Linked DNA regions of Xenopus tropicalis. The protein of the gene in region 1 interacts with the protein of each later gene in a pairwise test. Links are inferred from orthologs where the notes say so. Each region holds a gene or a part of one and is shown in the gene's direction. Other genes may lie near its edges. The genes, in order: ssx2ip, mrpl53, top3b, cchcr1, card9, shfl and fam161a.

Region 1 (2,469 bases):
TAATCCCACTTGTTCTCATAGCAGAAAAAATTAAATTTTTATGTTAAATGGTATAAAAATACAATCAGTTACGTGTCTACAACTGATATAATTTCAGTGTTCAGTTTAAAAAGATCACAGTATTCATAGTAACGCCATGTATATTCAAGTTTCCACCATTATCTGTCATGTAATTTTACTGCTGGGTACTTACCAAATGCGCTAAGCAGTATCGCATGTCATGCTTTGTAAAATTTCAGTGTGGTTAATCTTCTGTAATAGCTCCTTTTTAATGCCAAATGTTGAGCAACAACAGTTTAATATCCTCATTCCATCACAATGGCTTACACTATCTGCAGTTTTGGACACCAGTACATAGGAAGGATATTGATGAGCAAGAAATGGTGCACATGTTCAAATACGCTGATATTTAAAATGAATAGAACAATTGCACTGAAAAATAACTACCAAATATGTGTGGGTTTTTTTGTGTTTTTCACTAAACTAGCACGAATAGTTGCACTTCTCAGGAGGTGTTAAGTCGGCCACACACAAACCAAATATCATCAATACAGTGGCATAAAGGTTGCTTCTACTGATCTGAGGAGCAGTATAAAGCCATTTTCTTAAGTCTGATGAATTACACTTTAGCATCTGCCAATCTGAATGACTAGTCTGAGGCAGGTAGTGTACTCTTGGTATCTACTAAGTGATCAGTGCCCCACCTCACTAATGCTCTTGTGGATCAATGGAAGCAAATCACTTTATTTTTCCAGAAGAGTAGAAACCCTTTAGCAGCAAAGGGAATAACAGCTTCATAGCAATACCCTTGGTTTCTGAATAAAATATAGAAGCAACAGATGTCCTGATATTTTTGTTAATATAGTGTATTTGTCAGTGTCTGTGTTTTTTGAGGATGATTTAAAGATTTCATGAATGCTGCATTTCTTTAAAGATTCTGCAGAATACAGGTTACAATTATAAAAATGATTTGTCCTATTAATTAATTTGCCGTACATGTAAAAGCATAGCTTAAATCTAATCAAAACAGTATGTAAAATCATTCAACATAATGAGGTGATTGAGACTGAACAAGCATCAAATCATCAAATCTTCTTAGCTATTAATAGAATCTGCCATCACAGCAGCACCTGGCAATGGAGGGCAGTGGATGGCAGCTTTTGTTTGGGGGGTTACTTTTCTTTTAAGGAGGCCGCCAACACACTATGTGCTGTTACAGAATGTACCATTTCTGCTCAGAAGCTTGTTCTGAAATTCGCCTTTCTGTTTCAATATGTAAGCTTGTATCAATATATACTGTATTGCTAGTTTCTGTCCTCTGTGTAGTACTTTTTGTTTTACTATCTCAGTTTCTAGAAAAAGAGAGAAATACAACCTTAGCATATTTAGCTAAGGTTTAAACTAATAAAAATGTTTGTGACCTTACAAAATGACATTTTGGTAACCGATGTACATATTTTCTGTTATTGCTTGTCTTATAGAAAAAGGCCTTTGAAGAAGACAGAGCAGCTTGGTTAAAGCACCAGTTCCTGAACATGACACTGTTTTCCGACCACAAGAATTTGGAAGAAAGGAAAGCACATGGAGTTCACTTCAGTGAGTTTTAGTGCTCATACCAAAAAAACAGTTTTCTGGGATTTTTTTAATGTTATTTATATTTATCATAACTAATCGTTCTTCAAATTTTCATTTGATTAGGTCCTGAGCAAGACCATTGCAGACTGCATAGCCATCCTCATGATAGATACCTTGTATCGTCAGGAGACCATTCCAGACACCCAAGGAAAACACTGCCCATTACACCTTCTTCAAAGCACAGTCTGACTCAAAGAGAAAGGTATTATAACATGGCTTGCTATACCCATGTCTCCTTGATTTAATTTGATGAACTACCTTGTGTTGACTACCAGCATCTTTTTTGTGATGGCTTCACACCATAGTTTCAGTAGTCTTATAATCTTGGGGGTTTGTAACTCTTGTTTCAGAATGATATATGTGTAAGGATGTTTTAGGTTGTTTTAATATTGAGTGCAATATAAGAAATTTAGATAGAATATTATGAATATGTAGGCATTTCAAAAGGCTAACCGTAACGACAATTTGCATTTGCTAAAGAACATAGATGAAGGCTAATAAGTGTTGCTGAATGAGGTTCAGTGTTTTAATGTATTTTATTTTATTTATTTTTTTTAGCATTGCATGGAGAGATTCGAGCATTAGTCCAAATGGCAGTGACTTTGCAAATTAATTCCAGCTCCAGGCCGGGTCTGCATGTCTGGGAGAAGAAATCTTAAGCACTTGCACAGACAGGCTTATGTCTTGGTTATTCTTAGCTTTGTTTGCTGTAAAATACCAAAGCATTTCCCATTTAGCAACTCTATCTGATGATCTTCTACTAAATTAGCAGCAGTTTATATGGCTTTATATAGCATTACAGGATTTACCGAATTAGCACACAAAATGGGGACA
Region 2 (3,946 bases), on another chromosome or scaffold:
CATGATTTTTACTCACAATAAAATCTCCCTACCCAGAACTCCAGTGTAGCTGCGACCACCATTATCAGACGCAAAATCAGATATGTCCTAAGGTATAAAGTTGCATTAGGGGCAGGGACCTCCATCCTATTGTGTCTTTGGCTCTTAAGTTATTGCAACTGTATCTTTTATTTATTTGTGTTTATTGTTATACTTTGTATTTATCTATTACTATCTAAATCAGCGTTTTTCAACCCCTGTTGACTGGTGTGCCGTAGGCAGGGCCGCAATTTTTACTTTCAAAGGGGGCCCTTTAATAAAATCCGGGCCCTGTCATTGGTTGCGCCCCGTGTGTACGGGTGATGTCAGTACGCACGGGGCGCAACGTTATAAAAGGGCCTGTGTGCGGTCGCGTGTAGGCAGAAGTGCAGAGGCGGCGCACCTGAGGGATACGAAGATGCTGCTGAAGCCACCGGAGAAGCTGCCGAAGAGCAGAAGTAAAATGCTGCTGGGCACCAATGTATTAGGGGGGCACTGCTCTTGGCACCAATGTACTAGGGGGGCACTGCTCTTGGCACCAATGTACTAGGGGGGCACTGCTCTTGGCACCAATGTACTAGGGGGGCACTGCTCTTGGCACCAATGTACTAGGGGGGCACTGCTGCTGGGCACCAATGTACTAGGGGGGCACTGCTGCTGGGCACCAATGTACTAGGGGGGCACTGCTCTTGGCACCAATGTACTAGGGGGGCACTGCTGCTGGGCACAGAGTTAAATTTTTTAACATTTTCTAATGGTGGTGTGCCTCGTGATTTTTTTCATGAAACAAGTGTGCCTTTGCCCAAAAAAGGTTGAAAAACACTGATCTAAATAACCCCGTTTGTATTCATGTACATAAGTAGCGCTTTATAAATAAAGATATACATACATACATACAGTAGAATTAAGCGCAACTGGATGCAACCTGCAACATAAGGAGGATCGCCTGTGTGAACAAGAGTTGGTGAAATTGCCAGTGCTTCTATTTGCACCACTCAGCACCTGGTATGGCTTTATTGCTTATTAAGAAATTACATGTACACGTACGTACCTTCCTCTCACGTCACATCTTTTATCCCCGCTTAAAGAACTACATATCCCAGGAAGCTTTGGCGGGGCGGGGGGCGGAGAGTTATTTGCGAATTGCATTGTGGGAGAGGGAGATTCTCGCTCTCATTGGCTGCATGTGTGCGGGATGATGGCTGCTGTCGGTGCTTCGGAGCTGCTGCTAAAGTCAGTGAAGTCCATCGCTGTGCGATTCTGTCCCTTTGAGCCCAATGTCCGGCACGTTAGGTAAGTAGTGCCCCACAGGAGCAGCAACACTGCGCTCAGTCACTCGGCTCTATATGGGGAACTAGTATTATGTACATATACAGCACATTCTCCTCATTAAGTGCCTAAGGTCATACAAACACATGGGGCACTTGTGTCACTCTTGTGTACCAGCTATTTTGTTTGCACCCCCCCCACCCTCGTTGTAGGTGGTACCTTCCTAATCCCAGTCATTCCAGTCTAGGGCAGTACTAGGGTCAGCACCTTATGTAAAACTGCTTTCCTGCACCCTGCTGCACTATGTTCCACCATATTAAACCACTATATTATAACTACATCCATTGGCTCCATATGGGGCCCCCCATGAACACAAGTGTGCGGTATCACCGTTTTGCCCATGCCCCTTGTGTGTGCAATATGAACTGCTGTTCCATTGATGTGCTAATGTCATTCAGAGTTTTGGGGTCATTAAAGTTTAACCCCTTCCTACCTACCTGCCCCTGCTCTGTGTTGTCATTGCTTGATATGGAAATTCATATGTTTTTTAAGTTTAGGTGCCCAATGATATTGCTGTGGGGCCCAATAACTAGTCATTAGTGGTTAATAAACATAGTAAAAATAATGTGGTAATACGTCGGCATTTTAATTGGGAGGTCAGTGGAGTTTATACGTAAGCTTCTCTAAGGCTAATGCCAGATGAGGCGTAGGGCATATATTTTCGGCAAGCGGAAAAACGGTTGCCGAAAATACTGCGTAGGACGGTATTTTCAGAAAGCGGTTTTCCGCACAGTGTAGGGGCCCAGTGAACATTTTTAGACCAGAGTTACTGCTCAACCCCTCTAAATGACCGCCATTGCATATATCTGTCTTATATACATATCTATCTTATATACATACAGACCTTTATGTGCACTCAGATATATAAACTACATATACCAATACTTATACCAATAGATGTTAAGATCATGATAGACTTGGATATTATGCTTGTTCCAGGAGTAGCCATTTTATTATAATACTTATTATTATTGCTAATAATTATTTGAATTTTGAATCTTTTCTTTTTCCAGAGAATTTTTGGATATTATAAACTCCAAAAAAATCCGCTCTTCCAACGCAAACTGTGACATTGCTGTAGATGTGAGGCATGATCGGAGTGAACCCCACGTGGATATTCTGTTTGGTGAGTCTCATATTATATTAACAGCAAAACAAATATACATACTTAACAATAAAAGACTGATTGGTCATCTCTTTTGTGTATTGCGCCAGGGATGACCAATAGAGTTTTGTTAGCAATGTGTACACACAATGTCTTAACAATGTAGGTTGTGATATTTAATTATATGATCTACTTCATCCTTCCTCTGTGTTAGCTGTTTCACCAAGAGGTGCCAAAATACTGTGAAACCAACTATAAATAACTACAGTCTATTAAAGGTTGCAGTCAGATTGTGATGGGTTGCACAGTGATATGTGGTGTCACATATGTGACAAACAAATTGTTCCAACTTTTTTTTATTTTTTTATTTTACTTTGCCTGGTGGATCTTGCTAAGCATATTAAAGGATAGTTTACCTTTGTTATAGTATGTTATAGAATGGCCTATTCCTAGAAATTTTGCAGTTGGCCTGCATTATTTAGTTTTTATATTGTTTTTAAAGGGTAGGTTCACCTTTTAGTTAACTTTTAGTATGTTATAGAAAGCCCAGTGCTAAGCAGCTTTTCAAGTCTTCATTATTTGTTCTTCATAGTTTTTGAATTATTCACCTTCTTCTTCTAATTCTTTGGAACTTTCAAAAGGGGGTTACTGACCCCTGAGTCAAAAAAATGTTGCTCTGTGAGGCTACAATTTAATTGTTATTGTTACTTTATATTTCTTATTTTTCTATTCAGGTCCACTCCTATTCACATATCAGTCTTTCATTCAAACCACATCCTGGTTGCTAAGGTAATTTAAAGCCTAGCAACCAAATAGCTGCTAAAACTCCAAGCTGGAGAGCTGCTGAACAAAAACTTACCTTTAAAAAAAAAAATTACAATAAAAATGAAGACCAGCTGCAAATTGTTACTCTCTACATCATACTAAAAGTTAATTCAAAGGTGGACAACCCCATTACGTATTTAATTATTCACCTATTGTTTGCATTTATGGGGAGAGCAGCTGTATGCCTTCCTGTCTTCCCTGACTTCAGTATATTCCACCCTCTCCCCGATGGCACAGGTATGCTGAGTCCGACTCTCAGTCTCTGCTGGGCACAGTGACAGGTGCTTTTTTATACATATTCAATATACTGCCACCATGCTAAGCTAAAGGAACATCAGGATGGTTACAAGGCACATAAGGCTTTCTCTTTCATCGTATAGCTGTTCTGTACCTACAACTATGTACAGCTGCATTGTGGAAGAAAAGGGGCAAGTACTTTCTTAAATGCTTATAGGTTGCTTTGGTATGATTTATTTATTATTTAAGTATCCAGTAGGTGGAGCTGTATAATAAAGTGAAAACTATTCCTATACTGTGCATTTGCTGGAAGATCCAAGAATCGCCATCCTGGGGTTCCAGGTTATGAATTAAATTGGCATCCCCTGTGAATTGGGGTTTATTTGTCCTTTAAACAAAATATGTTGCATATACAGTTGTAAATAGTCCAAC
Region 3 (4,018 bases), on another chromosome or scaffold:
CATACAATACCTAAGAAACATAAATAATGCCTTACTCCCACACCTCCAAACATCCATAACTATAGACCTCACCTGCTGCCACAACCCATTCAGATTTGATAGATGGGTCTAGTTTCCCCAACACACTGCTCTAGAGTCAAATACCCCCCTACAGACATACAGACAAACCTAGCACAGCTCTCCTAATCTGCCCACACACTGTACCCCCACATTGGGACATCTAAATACTTATGCCCCCCCAGTAGGACTAACCCAATCTCCTCTCAAAATTCTGGTTAAAAAAAAAAAAAAAAAAAAGCACAACAGAAATTCTAAGCACACAAAATCCTACCCCCCCACAAAAAAACATCCCCCCAAATTATCTAACACACCAAAAACATCAGCACACTCCAAAATTCTTCCCTATAGCTCAAATTTTTGCCGCACGTCAACCCAATCCAACCAAAAATTCAACAACCACCCTTCAAAAAAAAAAAAAAGTACGCACCCCAGAACTTATCAGCACATTTACCCAAACAGAAAAATACAAGCACTCCACGTATAAGCAGGCTCCAATAACCCCCTAATATTAAGGGCACACACCTTACAGCAGGGATCCCCAACCTTTCTTACTTGTGAGCCACAGTCAAATGTAAAAGACTTGAGGAGCAACACAAGCACCATAAAAGTTCATGGAGGTGCCAAATAAGGGCTGTGATTGGCTATTAGGGGCCTCTATGCACACTATCAGCTTACAGGGGCTTTATTTGGTAGGAAATCTTGTTTTATTCAACCTAAACTTGCCCTCAAGTCAGGAATTCAAAAATAACTCCCTGGTTTGGGGGCACTGAGACCAACATCCAAGGGGTTGGGGAGCAACATGTTGCCCCTGAGCCACTGGTTGGGGATCACTGCCTTATAGAGACCAGCAAGGGCGTAAAAGATCCACAGCTTTCACTAAACAGCAAGTGTCCCAGTATTCAGGCAAGAACTGAATAAACTCCTACATTTACTCCTGTCCTAAGAAAAAAAATTATGCTATACTGCGCAACCCAATACTCTCTCAGTAAAGCACTGTGACACTGCCTTTACCGAGCCGTTTCTCTCCAAGGCATCCCAGAGTAACCACTGAGGGCCGCACTCACCTATAAACTTGTTTATACGGCCATTTGAAGAAGGCGCCGAATGTACGTATTGGAGACGTCACCGCGTCTTCACGTTTTGTGACGTCACTCGCGGCCATTAGCAACTAGGAGCCTAGCAGTTACCTTTCGTGAGCGGGCCGGCTGGAGCCTAGGACCTGGTCATATAAACGGGGATGCGGGACATTTAAACAGCGATCCGGGAGTGCGCGCTGTGTTATAAAATTCGTGACTGAGCAGTTGGGAGGTATAAGGAAAAAGGTCCCCTTTATACATATTAAAGCTCAACTCCCCTCTTCTCAACCTCGCTATCTTTGTTCCCTTTCTCTTACACGTAACCAAAATGTATTCCTTGCATTGCTAAAATGTTCATAAGCTATAAATGACTAAATAAAAAAATGTATTTAAGGATAATCACTTATTATGTAACAATGTTATATAAACAGAAGCTTTAATAAGATGGGATTTGCAGTTGTACCATGGTAGAAAACTTTAATTTGGCCCTGCATGACTCTACTCTATACAATGAGCAAATGTTTGTACTTAATAGTATTATAGTTCCACCTTGTGATTTCTATGCCTGTGTGTATTTTCTAAATGCAAAACACAGTTCCCAGTGCAGGGGCGAAGAAACAGAGCTACTTAGTAGCAGCTACTAGTCACAGCTACTAAACCCCAGAATAGACATAGACAATTCTGAGAATTGCCTCTGCTAAAACACACGTAGAGACAATTATCAGCAAAGGATTATCATTGTCTATTATAGTAGCCGTGGCAAGTAGCTGCTACTAGTAGCTCCGTGTGTCTTCACCCTTAAGGCACACCTGATTGGGCACGATATCAACTGATAAACATGCAATTTCTAGAAAAAACCCTAAAGGGTAAGAACCCACAGAGTGGTTTAGTTGGCTACAATAGATCTCTGCTATTGCGGGTGACTAACCACTCAGAAATGGCCTGTCGCCGGTGGAAAGACCTTTTGCATCACTTTGGTAATCAGAAGTTGCACAAAGTTTCCCCCCTGCAGGCAACTTCGATAAACAAAGCAATGCAAAGGGCTTTCCACCAGCAACTCCTATTATTGCCGGTGGAAAGCCATTTAGGAGTGGTTAGTCACCCGCAATAGCAGAGATCTATCGCGGGTGACTGAACCACTCTGTGGGTTCTTACCCTAAAGGTGAAGAGAAACGTGATTTCTTCTACATTGGTTTATATCAGCAATGTGCTGAAGCTCTCTCTAAAGCTGTTGCACAGGCCAGTAAGAACTGCCATCCCTGACTGAATAACAACTTCTTAGCCTGTGAACAGGGCAATAATAATGGCACCTGTTTTTAATGTACAATGGTACATTAATCGGATATATATCCTGACAAAGTCTCACCTGGTGACGACTGCAGTTTATTAGGCAAGGCCACCAGGTGATTTGTATCCACAGAAGGGGTAACAAATACCTTATGTCTGTTTGCAGTTAACTAAGGTTCAGATTTATCAAAATGTGAGATAAGAGCTCACCACAGGAAAAAAAATCACCTGCTTTACATTCATTCCTGTGGGATTTGTAGAATTGTATTTATCAATGGGTGAAATTTAGAATTTGCTATTTAATAAATACATTTCTAAAACTTCCATAGGAATTAATAGAAAGTTTTTCTGTCTAATCTCACATTTTGATAAATCTGCTCTTTTGCTTACTGGTGTTTTTAAGCAATATAAGCAACACTAAATGATCATAAGCAAACTGTAATACCAGTCCTTAGATATTGGGATATTGAATAGGGAGAGTATACAATATATACATTGAAACTTTACTATTACTACTCTTATTTACAAGGACCATCCTATTCTCACTGGACACGTGTGCCTTAATAAGTGAATAATGAAGACAGTACTCATGGTTGCAGAGAAGCCTTCATTGGCACAGTCAATCGCAAAGATTCTTTCTAGAGGTAAGTGTCAGAACATGTATTTCATAGCACAATTGCAAGGGTTGCAGGATGTGTTGTTGCATAATTGGAAAGCAAAAAAAAAAAATCGAAAGGAAGCGTTTTGTTGCACCTGCGTTAGGTTATTACATGTGCCTTTGTTAGTACAGCCTTATTAGAAAGAATGAAATGAATTTCTTCCTGTGTTCCCCTGCAGTGACCTGCAGGACATTTACCAGGTCTGTAAATGATAGTTAAGGGGATATTATTTTTGTTTGTAATAGTGTTCAGCATATGTGCATATGTAGAACCCTTGGTAAATAACTGTCACTCATAAAATCTTCTATAATACATTACAGGGAGTGCCTCCTCTCGTAAAGGACTGAATGGTGCGTGCTCTGTTCATGAATACACAGGATCATTCATGGGACAGACTGTGCGCTTCAAGATGACATCTGTCTGTGGTCACGTTATGAGCTTGGACTTTATAGGTAGTGTGAATATTTTCTTTCATCTCTGTTGCCATTTTGTATATTATATAAGACTTCTAAATGCACGCGTTAGCAGTTTAATTATATCCTTAAAAGGCTCTGCCTTTTAGCATTCACTTGAGTAACTTCTTTCAGCCTTTTCATAAAATATATGGACTATAAGTGCAGTTAACTTAATTGTAGGGCCTATCAAAGTGCAGCAATTTCATAAAGGTCTTTGAAAGTTGATTTAAAAGTTAAGCTTTATATTATGATATAACTTTTTTTATTTGTGACTTCTATATAATACATATATCCTCCACTATGGGGATCCTATTCTTTCTAGTTTTGGTCATTCTAAAGTGCTTCAGAAAATTATTCTAGGCAGTATAGTCTGTTCACCATCTTTTGGCTCATTCTAAATGAATTGCATTTAAAAGTGTGCTATGTATATCAGTAAGCTTATACCAAATCAGTGAAAAAGGAAAATGTATAAACCCTAATG
Region 4 (4,139 bases), on another chromosome or scaffold:
GAGTCGACCAATATCTGCAGCCTTCTGCCATATTGGTCACCTTGCCGAGTTGCCATACATGCACCAAGGTTCCGTGCGATATTATCGGTGCGTGTATGGCCAGCTTTACAGTTATGGCAGGGGAAATAAAAGCTTTGAGAATGAGAGCACTCTGTGGGCTTGTGAGCAGCGCTGTATGTTTCACAGGGTTACCAACACAGCTAAGTAGGGTGTGTGAGCATTGGCTTGGGATAACAAACATAAAGGGCGATAGGTGGAGTACAATGAGCCCAAAACAAAGAGAGCCTGGGCATACCTAAGAAATAGTTGTTCACCAGATAAGAGTGATGAAATCTCTACATATCCTGAACTATTTGGCTACAAACTTACCAAAGTGAGTGCAGCTTTCCAAGTTAACCTTCCAGTCTCCTGAGAGCTCCCGCTCTGCATGTATTTTTGCATGGACAGCAGGTTTTCCAGGGAGGGGGACATCACATAAATCATGCTGGGCTCCCAGTCGGTAGATGCAGCATGGCGAGTCTGGCAGGAAAGTATACAAATCTCTGGACGCTGTGCTATTTGCATTTATGCTTGACTGTCCTGGGCTTGAGCCCATGCGCAAAAGCTGGAAACAGGGCTGTACCTGTGTAAGCACAACTTCTGACCCTACCATGGCAGCCTGCCAATTTTCTGACCAACCCACCTTTTTCCCACTACCTTAATGGAGTCCCTTACCCACAATGAAATACTGTCCCTGCTAGTCTAAATATATAGATTTTATTTATAAGTTTAGGTGGAGCTCTTTGTCGCAGTGCAGCACACTAATACTTAATAGCAGCCCTAAACCTCGCACAGAAGAACCATCTCACCTAATTCTATCAGCAACACAATGCCCTTGTACAGAACAGAAACTAGACCGACTAAGGCTGCCTAACCTAACACTGCAGACCTCAATATAGTTTGCATCCCACACTATTACAGTAGATGTACTCTTCATGCACAAATCTCCCCCTAGCAATTACTTCCCATGGGAGTCGCAATATAGCGGGGGAGACTGAGTGCGTGACGTCACGGTTCCCACCGAGCCGCCGCTACCAGCTGAGCCCAACTCTGACCGGGACCACGGCGGGAAATCAGAGGAAGGAAGCGCGCCTTTGAAATTTGGCGCGTTATCGCCCATAGGTTGACACCCACCTCCTTGTAACCACGCCTACAAACGAACTGTCTGGCAAAAAAACACTGTACCTAGCCGACAACAGTTTTACTCACTTTATACTGATTGGTTAAGAGCTCTCCGCGCCTGTTTTTTTTTACCAGCCAAACTCTCGCGAAAGAGACTTCGTGTCTTCTATGATTGGCGGCTTAGTTTCCTCTGTGCTTATGATTGGATAGCAGCTACGCAAATATATCTTGCTTAACTTTATTGGAAACAAACAAATACGAACAGTGAGTGGGTAAAAGAAGGTTGCCAGGAGGAAGGATTTGTTGTAGTTCTGTTTGGAATGGTGTTAGTTATACGGCTGCAGTAGGATAGGGGATTGGTTCCCGGGCTTAAAGCCGCGAAATTTGTTGATCGCAGAAGGGAAAGCGTACAGAGGAATGTATTATAGTTCCATCACAGTCATGGGTCGGGTTGTTATTACCATGCTATCCATAGATGTATGCTCTTGAGTGGCGAGATTGTTATTAAGATCTGTTGGGAAATAGAGACTTCAAGCCTATATTCACTCAGTAGTAGCAGGTAAGCAAAACACAAATGTTTGCCAGTGACGCCAAGATTTTTTACATGAACTTATGTTTTAGAGTGGAAAATTCTGAGAAAATATGCAGGTCTTTTTATTTGTAAGTTTTGTATTTAGCAGCTGTCCAGTTTGAAATGTCGGCAGCAATATGGTTACTAGGCACCTGTTTACACTAGCCACCAGCAGTTGATTGAATGAGAGAGTGCAATATAAAAGAAAAGTACCTGAATAGAAGTGAAATCATTTAAAATAGGGCACACTAAGCCCCGCAACCAAAACTCTGTATTAAAGCTGAAAAGCGGCAGAAGAGAATTGTACATAATCCAAAAAATTGAAAGACTGGTTAAAAAGTTTCTAAGGATAGGCCATCCTATAACATAATACAGGTATGGGACCGGTTATTCAGTATGCTCAGGACCTGGGGTTTTCCGGATAAGGGATCTTTCTGTAATTTGGATCTCCATAACTTAAATCTGCTAAAAATAATTTAAGCATTGAATAAACCCAATAGGCTTGTTTTGCCTCCAATAAGGCTTAATTTTATCTTAGTTGGGATCAAGTACAAGGTACTATTTTCATTACTGAGAAAAAGAAAATAATTTTTTAGAATTATTTGCTTTTAATAGAGTCTATTGGAGATGGGCTTGCTGTAATTCAGAACTTTCTGGGTAAAAGGTTTCTGGATACGGGATCCCATACCTGTAATAGGTAAATTAAAGGAGAAGAAAAGCTAAAAATCACTGGGAGTGCCACGCATACGCAGCAGAGTGAAAAAGCTGGATTTTTTGTTAGTTCAGCTTTTTACTCTACTGCTTGTGCGCAAGCAGCAAGAAAAGAACGAGAATGGCTGGCTCACAGCTACCCCGGGCTGGTATGCTTTTCTCCTAACAGGAGCACCAGCCTGGGATAAAAAGTAAGCCATTACAGTCACTGGTGGGTGCCCCCTGGCACTCCCAGTGATTTTCCCTTTCTTCTGCTTTAAGCAACAAAATGATAAAAACACAAATTTAACAATTTTTAAATATATAAAGGTGACCTTTAAGGACAAGGAAAGCTAATTTCACCTAGGGTGCACCTCCCAGTGAATTCAGTCACCTATGGGTGTAGTTATTAACATTTGATACAGATGTCATCAGTGCATCAATGTCATCCGGTTGCTATGGGCAATATCACTGGTGATCAGGGTTGGACTGGTGGGTGCAGTGCCCACTGGGGCTCCTGCAGGTGCCCCAGCCAGTCGCGTCCCCTAACCCCCCTGCAGGGCCCCCACCTGACATCCTCCCTGAGCATGTATAAATTGAACGCGTCAGGGGAGGTACAGTCAGTAGGGGGAGCGCCGGATTTTTCCTGGTGTCCCAGTCCCAGTCCGACCCTGCTGGTAATGTTTGTCTCTGATGTTAATAAATACTCCCCGAGCCTGCACTCCTATGAAGGAAAAAAAAAAAAAAAGTAATTTCTAATGGAGTACTGTACTGCAGTGCCATTTTACTTCCCAAGCTCCCCTCTCGCAGATCTATATTTGGGCATTTGTAATTTATTAGAATAGGAAGAATGTTAGTTGATTTTGCATATGCATAGGGTCATACTGGGGGGTGCAGGGGCTACTGCCCAGGGGCCCTGCACCCCCCAAGGTACCTCCGCCGGCCACATCCCCTGCAGGGGCCCCCGCCGCACACCCCTAACCCTCCCCCACCTGACGTCATCCCCTGATTAAGCGTATGTACAATGCATCAGGGGAGGACATCGGTGGGCAGGGGAAGCAGAAACAGGATCGAGTCTGGGCCGCTGGGGCCCACCAAGTATTTTTCCAGTGTCCTGGCAGCCCAGTCCGACCCTGCATGTGCAGGTATAAGTCTAGCAATCCGAGGGAAAAACGTAGCAACTGGATTCACTGGAACAGTGAATTCACCCCTGGTGAATTTAGTTTTATTTGTTCTTTAAAGTTATACTTCATGTCATTTAATTAAATATGTAAAACATTGAAGGCAAAATATTTTCAGTATATTCTGAAAAATAGTTTCTTTTTTTCTAAAAGCCCTAAAGAAAAATCTTTTTAGCACCACCGTGTCCACTTCCACTCTAGGTTGCAGGATAGATCACATTTGTGCTGTCACAATTATTTTTTTTTTCTGGATCCTTTATGATAAGAAAAATTAGACCAGCCTACAAAGACTAACATAAGTAAAGCCAACAGACTTGGTCCCTCTGCACCGAGTCGGCAACTTATTGCTATACAAATGGGGCCAACCGTCGGGCCTACCTGACAGAAATCTGGCTGAAAATTGAAGACCTTCCCAAACAAGCAGATCTTGCCATGTATGGCCGTCTTTAGTTAATACATTCAAAATTTGTCTCCTTTTATTTACTTACAAAGTCATTTTTTTACATATGGTTGCTTGATGGTGGCCTACTAGTCTT
Region 5 (4,211 bases), on another chromosome or scaffold:
TGTATGGTGCATAGCCTGTGTTTGCCTCTCCCCCATGTACCGCCTGCACCTTGCCTCTCCCCCATGTACCGCCTGCACCTTGCCTCTCCCCCATGTACCGCCTGCACCTTGCCTCTCCCCCATGTACCGCCTGCACCTTGCCTCTCCCCCATGTACCGCCTGCACCTTGCCTCTCCCCCATGTACCGCCTGCACCTTGCCTCTCCCCCATGTACCGCCTGCACCTTGCCTCTCCCCCATGTACCGCCTGCACCTTGCCTCTCCCCCATGTACCGCCTGCACCTTGCCTCTCCCCCATGTACCGCCTGCACCTTGCCTCTCCCCCATGTACCGCCTGCACCTTGCCTCTCCCCCATGTACCGCCTGCACCTTGCCTCTCCCCCATGTACCGCCTGCACCTTGCCTCTCCCCCATGTACCGCCTGCACCTTGCCTCTCCCCCATGTACCGCCTGCACCTTGCCTCTCCCCCATGTACCGCCTGCACCTTGCCTCTCCCCCATGTACCGCCTGCACCTTGCCTCTCCCCCATGTACCGCCTGCACCTTGCCTCTCCCCCATGTACCGCCTGCACCTTGCCTCTCCCCCATGTACCGCCTGCACCTTGCCTCTCCCCCATGTACCGCCTGCACCTTGCCTCTCCCCCATGTACCGCCTGCACCTTGCCTCTCCCCCATGTACCGCCTGCACCTTGCCTCTCCCCCATGTACCGCCTGCACCTTGCCTCTCCCCCATGTACCGCCTGCACCTTGCCTCTCCCCCATGTACCGCCTGCACCCTGCCTCTCCCCCATGTACCGCCTGCACCTTGCCTCTCCCCCATGTACCGCCTGCACCTTGCCTCTCCCCCATGTACCGCCTGCACCTTGCCTCTCCCCCATGTACCGCCTGCACCTTGCCTCTCCCCCATGTACCGCCTGCACCTTGCCTCTCCCCCATGTACCGCCTGCACCTTGCCTCTCCCCCATGTACCGCCTGCACCTTGCCTCTCCCCCATGTACAGCCATCTTGGAACGACACTTCCCATATGGAGATCAGATGGGATGCCCAGCTTTGCCATGTTTGGGAGTAGCTCGCTGTGGGTATAGGGTGCCAGGGGTGAGACAGTGGCGCATACTGGAGATGGTGCCCCAGGGGAGTCATTTAGTGCGAGGAGGGGAGAGATAAAATCATAGAGAGGAAAGCTTGAATGGATAGACATGGCGGGTGTGATTGGGCCATATACATGGTTGCCCAGATAGCCCAATGGCCTGTGTGAGGGGACAGGGGGGCACATCTGTCCATCCATACACCCCCAAAATAAGTCACTGACAGCAGAACTGGGGCAATCGAAACTGACACCCAAGGCAAATACCTTTTGCCCCCCCCTTCCCCTTTAATCCACTTTTATCCCAATTTTCACTCTCGGAAGACTCCTCCGACCCCCCCCTCTCTTCTCTCCCGGCCTCCAACGCCGACTCCCCAATCCCAGCGGAACGGCCGAGCCACATGCAGCCACCGGAAGCCACGAGCCAATCAGTTCCGAGCACGTGGAATTCCCAGTGACGATCTCAGGCAACCGACATGTCCCAACGGGTCCGGTATCTGCCACAGGTTGGTGACGACCCCCCCCCACCTTTGTTTAGCAGATCCAGGTGTTCTGTGTAAAGGCCAAACCCATTTCCTCTTGGAATTATGGGAAGGTAAAACCTTCAGGATCCTGATTGGAGGGTCCTGTATGCACATATAGAAACCGTAGCCGCTGGGGGAGGAGCTAAATAGTAAGGGGGAGTAGCCAATAACATTGGGGGGGGCTGTATCCGTGTGGGTTGATTTTGGGAGCAGGTTGGCCGAGTGTGTGCGAGGTCAGCTGACCTCTAATGGGTGCAATTAAGCCAATTAGTGAGCACTGTAGGCATCCGCCGGTCTCTATTAATTGCCCCACCCGGCCGTGCGTTCTTGATGAATAAGTCCTTCCCCCGTGGGTAAGGTAAGTCGCTAATTGCCCTCGTTACTTACAATTAAATGAATAATTACAATTAAAGGGAAAGTACACCTTCTTTAGCCACGTGAGTGGTGTAATGTGTCCGGATGCCGAGGCTGAATGCCAATCAGGGTGGAATGTGGGCTGTGTGGCATATTTGCTCTCCTCCGAATTCTGATAGGGTGACTTGCCATACCTGGGAAAGGGGGGGGAGCTGGGCAAATGCTGCTCGTAAAGGGGCGGTTTACCTTCAAGGTAATTTGTGTATGTTATAGAATGGCCATTTCTAAGCAACTTTTCAACTGGTCTTCATTATTTATTTCCTATAGTTTAAATATTTGCCTTCTTCTACCAACTCTTTGGGGGTCACTGACCCCGGCAGCCGGAAACAATTGCTCTGTGAGGCTCCAGTTTTATTGTTATTGTTACTTTTTATTCCTTATCTTTCTATTCAGCCCCTCCCCTATTCATATACCAGTCTCTCATTCAAACCACACCCTGGTTGCTAAGGTAATTGGAGCCCCAGCAACAGGGTCACTGACCCCGGCAGCCAAAACCTATTGCTCTGTGAGGCTCCAGTTTTATTGTTATTGTTACTTTTTATTCCTTATCTTTCTATTCAGTCCCTCTCCTATTCATATACCAATCTCTCATCCAAACCACTCCCTGGTTGCTAACATAACTTGGACCCTAGCAACCAAATAGCTGCTGAAACTCCAAACTGGAGAGCTGCTGAGCAAAGTGAAATAACTAAGAAACTACAAATAACAAAAAACGAAGACCAATTGCAAGTTTTCTCAGAATAGCACTCTCTGCATCACTAGAATATTGCACTGTTTATTGCCCGGTGGCTCATTGGTCATTAACGTTCCTAACCTCACTGCCTCTCCATGTGACTCCCCAGCAGCAGCAGCCGTGCAGCCAGTAATGGGAAGTGATCTCTGCAGACTGTGAAGCTGCACTGTGGTATGCGACTGTGTGCAGACCAGGAAGTCATTTCTACACAGCCGCCTTCGCCCCTCCCAAACCCCCGTGCTCTACACCTCTCCTTCTCTCCTTGCCATTCCTGCTCTCTGACATGGGACGGAGTAAGACGCTTGGCTGAAAGCTCCCAGACGGACCAACTGTTCTAGAAGAGGTGAGCTTACCCTTTATTGTAACCCCCTCTCCCAGGCCCCAGAGAGTTAATCTGATCTCTCTTTCTTATCGAAATATATATAACTTTGCCTTTAATTCAGTGTAACTACTGCGGCTATTTAGAAACTTATGCTCTGTGTGTATTTAGCACTTACCCTATCTAACCCATTCTATAGCACTGGTCCAGTCTGCAGGGAGGCAGAATTGTGTACAGAACCATGTACAGAATTGAATTTTGTAGCTGGACCATGTACAGAATTGAATTTTGTAGCTGGAACCATGTACAGGATATAATTTTGTAGCTGAAACCATGTACAGGATATCATTTTGGAGCTGGACCATGTACAGAATTGAATTTTGTAGCTGGAACATGTACAGAATTGAATTTTGTAGCTGGACCATGTACAGAATTGAATATTGTAGCTGGAACCATGTACAGAATTGAATTTTGTAGCTGGAACCATGTACAGAATTGAATTTTGTAGCTGGAACCATGTACAGAATTGAATTTTGTAGCTGGACCATGTACAGAATTGAATTTTGTAGCTGGACCACGTACAGAATTGAATTTTGTAGCTGGACCATGTACAGAATTGAATTTTGTAGATGGAACCATGTACAGGATTGAATTTTGTAGCTGGAAACATGTACAGGATATTATTTTGCAGATGGAACCATATACAGAATTGAATATTGTAGCTGGACCATGTACAGAATTGAATTTTGTAGCTGGAACCATGTACAGAATTGAATTTTGTAGCTGGAACCATGTACAGAATTGAATTTTGTAGCTGGACCATGTACAGAATTGAATTTTGTAGCTGGACCACGTACAGAATTGAATTTTGTAGCTGGACCATGTACAGAATTGAATTTTGTAGCTGGACCCTGTACAGAATTGAATTTTGTAGCTGGACCATGTACAGAATTGAATTTTGTAGCTGGACCATGTACAGAATTGAATTTTGTAGCTGGAACCATGTACAGAATTGAATATTGTAGCTGGACCATGTACAGAATTGAATTTTGTTCCTGGAACCATGTACAGAATTGAATTTTGTAGATGGAACCATGTACAGGATTGAAGTTTGTAGATGGAACCATGTACAGAATTG
Region 6 (2,297 bases), on another chromosome or scaffold:
AGACTTATGCTACTTCTCTAATTTCTGTCTGTCTTTTCCCTAGGGGTTTCGGGCAGATAGAAGTCAGCAGTCCGTGTTATGTGTGTAGAAACCCTGTGCTGCCCAGCTGTATCCTCCCACCTCGCCGGAACCAAGGCCCTCGAACCCGCAATACTCACAGCTGTTTAGCCGAAAATTGTTACAACCGAAGAGGTGAGTAGGATTCCACAGGGGGAGGAAGGAGAGATATTGCAAGGGGTGGGCTCTATTTACCAAGCACGTCCTTCTAAGCTGGCCATACACAGTCTGACAGTAGATGCCAATATGGCCAGTGTTTATAGGTCCAACTCATAAGCCCGCCAACGGTTCACCACATCAGGCTGTTGATGCAGTTTTACCCCAAAGGACCATTTGGGATCCCATTGGCTTGGGAATGAATGACTGGATCAGCCCACTTTAGCTTATGGCCATATCGGCCACTCATTTGGTGAATCTTTACAGCCATAGCCAACTCTGATCTCTTTAATGCCCTCCTTGCAGTACCCTTCGTTGCTGGCCTGCAGTGCGCCCATCCAAAAAGCCGAATCATGAACCAGCTCCCCAAAGTGCTGCACCCCAGTGAGCCCCACATCAGTACAGGCTCCACCATAGCAACCTGCCTGAGCCAAGGGAGTCTGACCGAAAACGATATTGATGACATCATACTGGACGATATCAAGGAGGAGGAAGAGGATGAGGGAAGTGATGACAGTGATGGCTAAGGACACGTGTTTATTAGGTACCCGCTGGCCGAGCGTAAGTGGAGAGTGGCTTGGCCAGACCGAGACCAAAGCCCAACACTGTCAGAGCCTCTCCATATAACCTGTAGGCCACTGGCTTGCTTCTGTTTAATACTTATCTCTCTCCTGGCTGCAGATTAGAACATACTCATTTCTATTTCAGTTCCTGTAATTTCAGTTTATCAGTGTACCTAGTGCAGACGAAAGCTGAGTCACATTGGCTTAGCCAGCAGAAGTGTAGGGACTACGTTCCCATAGTGCCTTAATCTTTTTCACAAGTAACCAGAACTGGTCCATACAACTCACACTTCATATATCCTTCACCAGCAGGACTTCATACTCGTCTTAAAGCTTCATTTGCTCCATATATTTATCAATATAATCTTTTACTTTAAAGCCTTATCCTGCTCCACAAAGTCCTCTTGGCTCTCCATGTAAGCCTTCCCTATAGACCTTGTTGCTGCAGATATTTCCTATCTATAACCCCTCCCTATAACTCCTCCTATTGCTCCATATAACCCTTCCCTATAACTCCTCATATTGCTCCATATAACTCCTCCCTATAACTCCTCCTATTGCTCCATATAACCCCTCCCTATACCTCCTCCTATTGCTCCATATAACCCCTCCCTATAACTCCTCCTATTGCTCCAATTAACTCCTCCTATTGTTCCATATAACTCCTCCCTATCACTCTTCCTATTGCTCCATGTAACTCCTCCTATTGTTCCATATAACCCCTCCTTATTACACTTCTGGTCAAACTCCTCCTACTTCTCAAAATGACACTTGATTTAGGTGCCTGTAGCAGAAGCCAGAGTTAGACATGAATGTAGCACTTATTGCTTTTAGCAGATTTGCGTCTGCATCTTTTGCTGCAAAAAAAGCATTGGCACTTAAGCCCCCTATAAGGGTCACTTTCCATTTCAGTTTCTCTTTTTTGAAGATGTATATATTTGAAAAAAAAAATTGTTCTTGCTATCTTAACGTGTTTTTCTGAAATGCAAAGATTTTTCAGAATAAAAAAAAAAAAAAATAAGACTCGAAAACTCGATTGACCTTTATCTGAAACCATGAAAAGAGATAAAAGATTCATATATGGAAAATGATGATACATGGGATTTACAGTGTATATAAACTCTTTATTATACATACATGGCAATGACCATTATAAGATGATCCTGAGCAATGGATCAGTGCTAGGGTTACCCCCACCCTCTTATTAAAACCTCACACATATACTGTATCTACATCGCACTTGCCCAATTAACACTGCTGCAGCCTGCACTGGTTTTTGCATCAGATCAATAGCCATTGAAAACAGATGTTAAAGGGGGTATGTGTGTGTGTGAGAGAGCAGAGATGTCAAGTGATCCCATATCATTGGGGGTAATAGAGATCCGCTTTTTTGAGGCCTTATTTCATGCCATAGGGTTACTTGATGTCTGTGCAGGGTGAGTCTAGTCATTATACATTTGGTTTGATCATCATGGACACCTTCTTAAGAGAGTAGGCACCACCGCGAAATTCAGCCCAATA
Region 7 (3,955 bases), on another chromosome or scaffold:
AGCCCTGCACTCACACAAGCACAGACAGGCTTCAGTTCCCTATCAGGTCAGCCTAGCTGCTGATTGGTTCCTATCCTACAGTGCAGTTTATGGAGGGCCGCTGGCACCCCCTGCACATCCAAAGAATTCAGCCAGCAGGAAGTGGAACAGATGGGCGGGGCTAGTGGGGTTTGGGGGAATTTCTCAATAAATCAGTCTGAAATACAACTTTTTAAAGCACATTCCTTCTATGTCTAGAGGAGTATAATTCACTGGTACATTCATTATTTTTATAAGATATGTCTCCTTTAAGGTATGTGTAACCTTAATTTGTTTGTGTAAAATAACATAAATATACATGAAAGGTACACACATGCCATAGGAGTATAGTCAAGTGCTATTTATAATGCTCCTAAATTATGATCAAGCACCCAAAAAGTAATTTACAGAAAATAAAGGATGCTATTCAGTAAGATTACAGTTCCCACAATGCTTTGAAATGTATTACAACTTTAATAGTTTAACCTTAATGCCAGGAAGGTCTAGCGTAAAAAAAGAAGAGATCACCCTAAATTCAACAATGAGCCTTTGTAAGTAAGTAGGCACCTCCTATGGTCACCCTTATGAGCCTTACCCACCCCTTCTCTGGCTCTTGGGCACACAAATTAAAAACCACGGGCATATGAAAAGCTATCTGAAGGCAAATAAACTAATAACTGCACTTTGTGCATTATTCCGCCCCTACCGGGATTATTATCCGCTCTCTTCCAAATCCGTGCGGAGGGGGCTGTAGTGCTCTCGCCTCAGCCAATCAGAGCGCAGGGTGGGCACTATCGCTAGAGCGCCCTATAGGAAAGCGGAGCTAGAGTATTGTGTTGGCAGCCGGCGCTTTAGATGTCGCCAAATGTATATGTGTGGGCTGAAGTTTGGAGCTGGTTATGCTCTGCCTTTGGGAGTACCCTAAGCACTCGCATTTCCACCATCATTAGTCTCATTCTGCGGCAGATAAACTAAAGCTGGATGCAAAACTCTGGAAGCCTGCGCCAGTTGCTGCTCTGAAAACAGCGCGCTCTAGGTTATTGTCTCCTTTCTCTCATGCCATGTGGCGTGGCTTCAGTTTGTGATCGCTTTAGAGGTTGGTCTCTCGCAGACTCCGTAGCGTCGGCGGTTGCCAGGCAGCGGCCAAAGCTGAAGGTTCCGTGCCAATATGGCGCAGGCTCACAAGGAATCAGTGCTCGCTGCCGCCTGTGTGAGGACCCCTGTGAACCCCTACACCAAAGCACCGCTTGCCCTGTACGAACGGGAGTTGGGGGAAAGGCAACAACAACGAACTGCCTCTGTCTCACCCCAGAGACTTCCAAGAACATCAATGGTATGGATACTATTCTTACAGCTGGAATATTAAAGCTCATAGAAACCTAAAGATAGCAAACTTCTTAACAATTTATCTCTGAGCTAAACTTATATATACAAATATATTTATTACAAATGTCCCATTGTGTTAAAGTTATTTGTAAGTAGAACTTCTTTTGATAGCTTCATCTGTCAAACTGCTGGTTGTAACTAGTGAAACAATGTAGCAGAGGGCAGCTGATTCACAGACAGGGCTAGGAACAGGCAAGTGGCTGCTGCTACAGTGCTTCATTAGACAGATCTAAATGGCAATTACATTTACAGTTCACTTTAAAATATGAATATACATAAAAAGTTACCTATAGGTCATGTTGATGGTGTCTCGCTGACAGGTTTGCTTTTGTAAGTAATTGTTACTTGAAGTTCCTACACCTGACTGTTTTGCCAACCTGACTGTCCCTTCCCAGCCTGTCAGTTACAGCTTCTAATGCTAACAGACAAATATGGCTGCCCCCACTTAGAGGAACCGAGGATCAGACAGGTAATGTAAACGCATCAGGCAAATATTTTTATGGCAAAATTCTAAAGTTCTTGCAAAGACAATGTTATTATAGATGTAAAAAAAAAGATTTACTTTCTGGTGTCAGTATCTCTTTAAGACCATTGAAAAATGTTTATGAATTTCTGTTGGAAAGTTTCGTAGATTTACGTTTTTTATTAGGCAAACATGGTATTTTGGGGTTTACAGCCTGGTTTGTTCTGCTGTAACTTATAGACAGTAGGCATATGAGTTGGGCACAGGCGGCAAACATTAGAACTCTGTTTGGAACAGAACCTTTGGGTTCCCAAGTGTTGCTGGCCCCACAACTCCTTTGTTATATGTTGAAGAATGGTAGGTAAGCCCAGAACTAGGGGTAGGCAGAAGGGGCATGTGCCTAAGGTGCAATTATAGGGCAGGGCTTTGGAGTTGGTACATATATCCAGTGACTCCTCAGTTTATGGTACTTCAGACTCCAGGTACCCAAATTTGCTTCTGACTCTACAAATCTGACTCCACAGCCCTGGCCAGTCTATGGAGTCTTTACATAAATCCTTCAGCTACTCAGTAGTTGCTTCTGACTCCGACTCCACTTGGGGGGTGCTACTCATTGGGATAATGTTTACAAAAAAGTAACAGAGGCTGCTGACCCTGCTGATGGGAGATGTAGTTAAACAATCGCTGGAGGGCCGCAGGTTTGACATCGCTGTATTACTTAGTTAGCCTGGGCATGGAAGGGCAGCATGCTCTGGGAATTATCTCTAGCCTGTCATCTGGTGTTTATTTTATAAGCCTATTCGGCACCGGTTAATTAACAGATGGGATCATGTGATGCCAGTGCTAATTATACAGAGTGCTATTTGGCACATCAGTTACATTTACATGCTAATAATGGTGAAAAGCTGAACAGTATAAGCTACAATGTAGGGGATCCCGTTTAAAAGAGGATTAGATTGGTAGTTATTTTTAGTGACTATAGAGCATTAGCTGGGAAGCAATTTACTGAATTAAGCAGAGCACTGGCAAACCCGTGATGGTGTTGTCTCAATGTCTATAAAATCTGCAGGGCTGAAAAGAGATCTCATAGTCATTATATCTGGAGAAGGAAAGCGTACAGGGAGTGGGGGAGAGTATGGACCTGTCCCAAAACTTACATTCATGTCACACTTAACACAAGTAAAACATTGACAACTAGTTACGGATGCACCAAATCCAGGATTCGGTTTAGGATTTGGCCAAGATTCAGCCTTTTTCAGCAGGATTCATATTCAGCTGAATCCACGCTCCTGGCCAAACCAAATCTGAATCCTTAAAAACACTTTTTGTCACATAAATACGGAAGTTGAACATTTTTTGCTGCACTCGTTAACCCTTCCGTGTCCTAATTTACATATGCAAATTTGGATTTGGTTCGGTATTTGGACAAATCTTTTACGAAGGGTTCGGGGTTTGGATGAATCCGAAAATAGTGGATCCCTGCAACTAGTATTTTTGTACAATAAAAGAAAATGTAATTTTAAGCAAATATGTTAATGAAAGGTTTTCAGTGGTTTTAAAATTACTTACTATATTTGTGCATTTGACGCACGTTCAGAATGTAATAGAATGAAGAAATGACTGTTGAACTTACAAGAACACACTTACTTGCATCTAAATCAATGCACGTGAATGCAATAAATGGGAAAATAGAAGCAAAAGATGGCAGCTCTGTGCTTTAATAAAAACATTTTTCAAAGATGAGTAGCACCCACAGGAGTCCGTGAGGCTGGTAACAAATTGGCATCTCCACGGTGAATTTGTCTGTGTTGTCCTTTAATCCCTGCCCATTCATTTATTATATTTCTGTTATATGTAGATATAAGCTTATGATGCTCTGTTAAATTTTCCTATATTATAAATTTTTTTTCTTTATACAGTTTATATATATATATAAATATATATCTCAAATTAACCAGTGATGTGCAAGGAAATGACTAATAAACAGAGATAATGGGAGACTGAAACAAGAGATGCAACAGGCCCTGCCCACAAGAGATTACAGGCTATATCTGTTAGCAGTGTAAGCTTATTATGGTGTATGCTGTG

Evidence for each region.
Region 2: the proteins of ssx2ip (region 1) and mrpl53 interact in binary tests that used the Homo sapiens proteins (3 or more experiments, as listed by UniProt). The two-hybrid records come from large-scale screens. The link is inferred for Xenopus tropicalis from reciprocal best matches to the Homo sapiens genes SSX2IP and MRPL53.
Region 3: the proteins of ssx2ip (region 1) and top3b interact in binary tests that used the Homo sapiens proteins (3 or more experiments, as listed by UniProt). The two-hybrid records come from large-scale screens. The link is inferred for Xenopus tropicalis from reciprocal best matches to the Homo sapiens genes SSX2IP and TOP3B.
Region 4: the proteins of ssx2ip (region 1) and cchcr1 interact in binary tests that used the Homo sapiens proteins (3 or more experiments, as listed by UniProt). The link is inferred for Xenopus tropicalis from reciprocal best matches to the Homo sapiens genes SSX2IP and CCHCR1.
Region 5: the proteins of ssx2ip (region 1) and card9 interact in binary tests that used the Homo sapiens proteins (3 or more experiments, as listed by UniProt). The two-hybrid records come from large-scale screens. The link is inferred for Xenopus tropicalis from reciprocal best matches to the Homo sapiens genes SSX2IP and CARD9.
Region 6: the proteins of ssx2ip (region 1) and shfl interact in binary tests that used the Homo sapiens proteins (3 or more experiments, as listed by UniProt). The two-hybrid records come from large-scale screens. The link is inferred for Xenopus tropicalis from reciprocal best matches to the Homo sapiens genes SSX2IP and SHFL.
Region 7: the proteins of ssx2ip (region 1) and fam161a interact in binary tests that used the Homo sapiens proteins (3 or more experiments, as listed by UniProt). The two-hybrid records come from large-scale screens. The link is inferred for Xenopus tropicalis from reciprocal best matches to the Homo sapiens genes SSX2IP and FAM161A.

What each region holds. Positions count from the first base shown.
Region 1 is NC_030680.2:77,508,229-77,510,697, forward strand, and holds part of ssx2ip (afadin- and alpha-actinin-binding protein), read left to right. Parts: intron 1-1,481; coding exon 1,482-1,596; intron 1,597-1,698; coding exon 1,699-1,837; intron 1,838-2,193; coding exon 2,194-2,248; 3' UTR 2,249-2,469. UniProt on the Homo sapiens protein: Belongs to an adhesion system, which plays a role in the organization of homotypic, interneuronal and heterotypic cell-cell adherens junctions (AJs).
Region 2 is NC_030682.2:123,899,100-123,903,045, forward strand, and holds the start of mrpl53 (39S ribosomal protein L53, mitochondrial), read left to right. Parts: upstream 1-1,146; 5' UTR 1,147-1,216; coding exon 1,217-1,311; intron 1,312-2,360; coding exon 2,361-2,473; intron 2,474-3,946.
Region 3 is NC_030677.2:153,942,775-153,946,792, forward strand, and holds the start of top3b (DNA topoisomerase 3-beta-1), read left to right. Parts: upstream 1-1,218; 5' UTR 1,219-1,368; intron 1,369-2,952; 5' UTR 2,953-2,997; coding exon 2,998-3,067; intron 3,068-3,402; coding exon 3,403-3,534; intron 3,535-4,018. UniProt on the Homo sapiens protein: Releases the supercoiling and torsional tension of DNA introduced during the DNA replication and transcription by transiently cleaving and rejoining one strand of the DNA duplex.
Region 4 is NC_030684.2:75,143,476-75,147,614, forward strand, and holds the start of cchcr1 (coiled-coil alpha-helical rod protein 1), read left to right. Parts: upstream 1-1,339; 5' UTR 1,340-1,720; intron 1,721-4,139. Other genes in the region: tcf19 (transcription factor 19), read right to left, coding at 370-652. UniProt on the Homo sapiens protein: May be a regulator of keratinocyte proliferation or differentiation.
Region 5 is NC_030684.2:6,411,995-6,416,205, reverse strand, and holds the start of card9 (caspase recruitment domain-containing protein 9), read left to right. Parts: upstream 1-1,411; 5' UTR 1,412-1,589; intron 1,590-1,781; exon of another isoform or gene 1,782-1,965; intron 1,966-2,863; 5' UTR 2,864-3,097; intron 3,098-4,211. UniProt on the Homo sapiens protein: Adapter protein that plays a key role in innate immune response against fungi by forming signaling complexes downstream of C-type lectin receptors.
Region 6 is NC_030679.2:136,804,603-136,806,899, reverse strand, and holds the end of shfl (shiftless antiviral inhibitor of ribosomal frameshifting protein homolog), read left to right. Parts: intron 1-43; coding exon 44-192; intron 193-519; coding exon 520-740; 3' UTR 741-1,797; downstream 1,798-2,297. Other genes in the region: angptl6 (angiopoietin-related protein 6), read right to left, coding at 2,226-2,297.
Region 7 is NC_030681.2:33,455,500-33,459,454, forward strand, and holds the start of fam161a (protein FAM161A), read left to right. Parts: upstream 1-1,155; 5' UTR 1,156-1,186; coding exon 1,187-1,351; intron 1,352-3,955. UniProt on the Homo sapiens protein: Involved in ciliogenesis.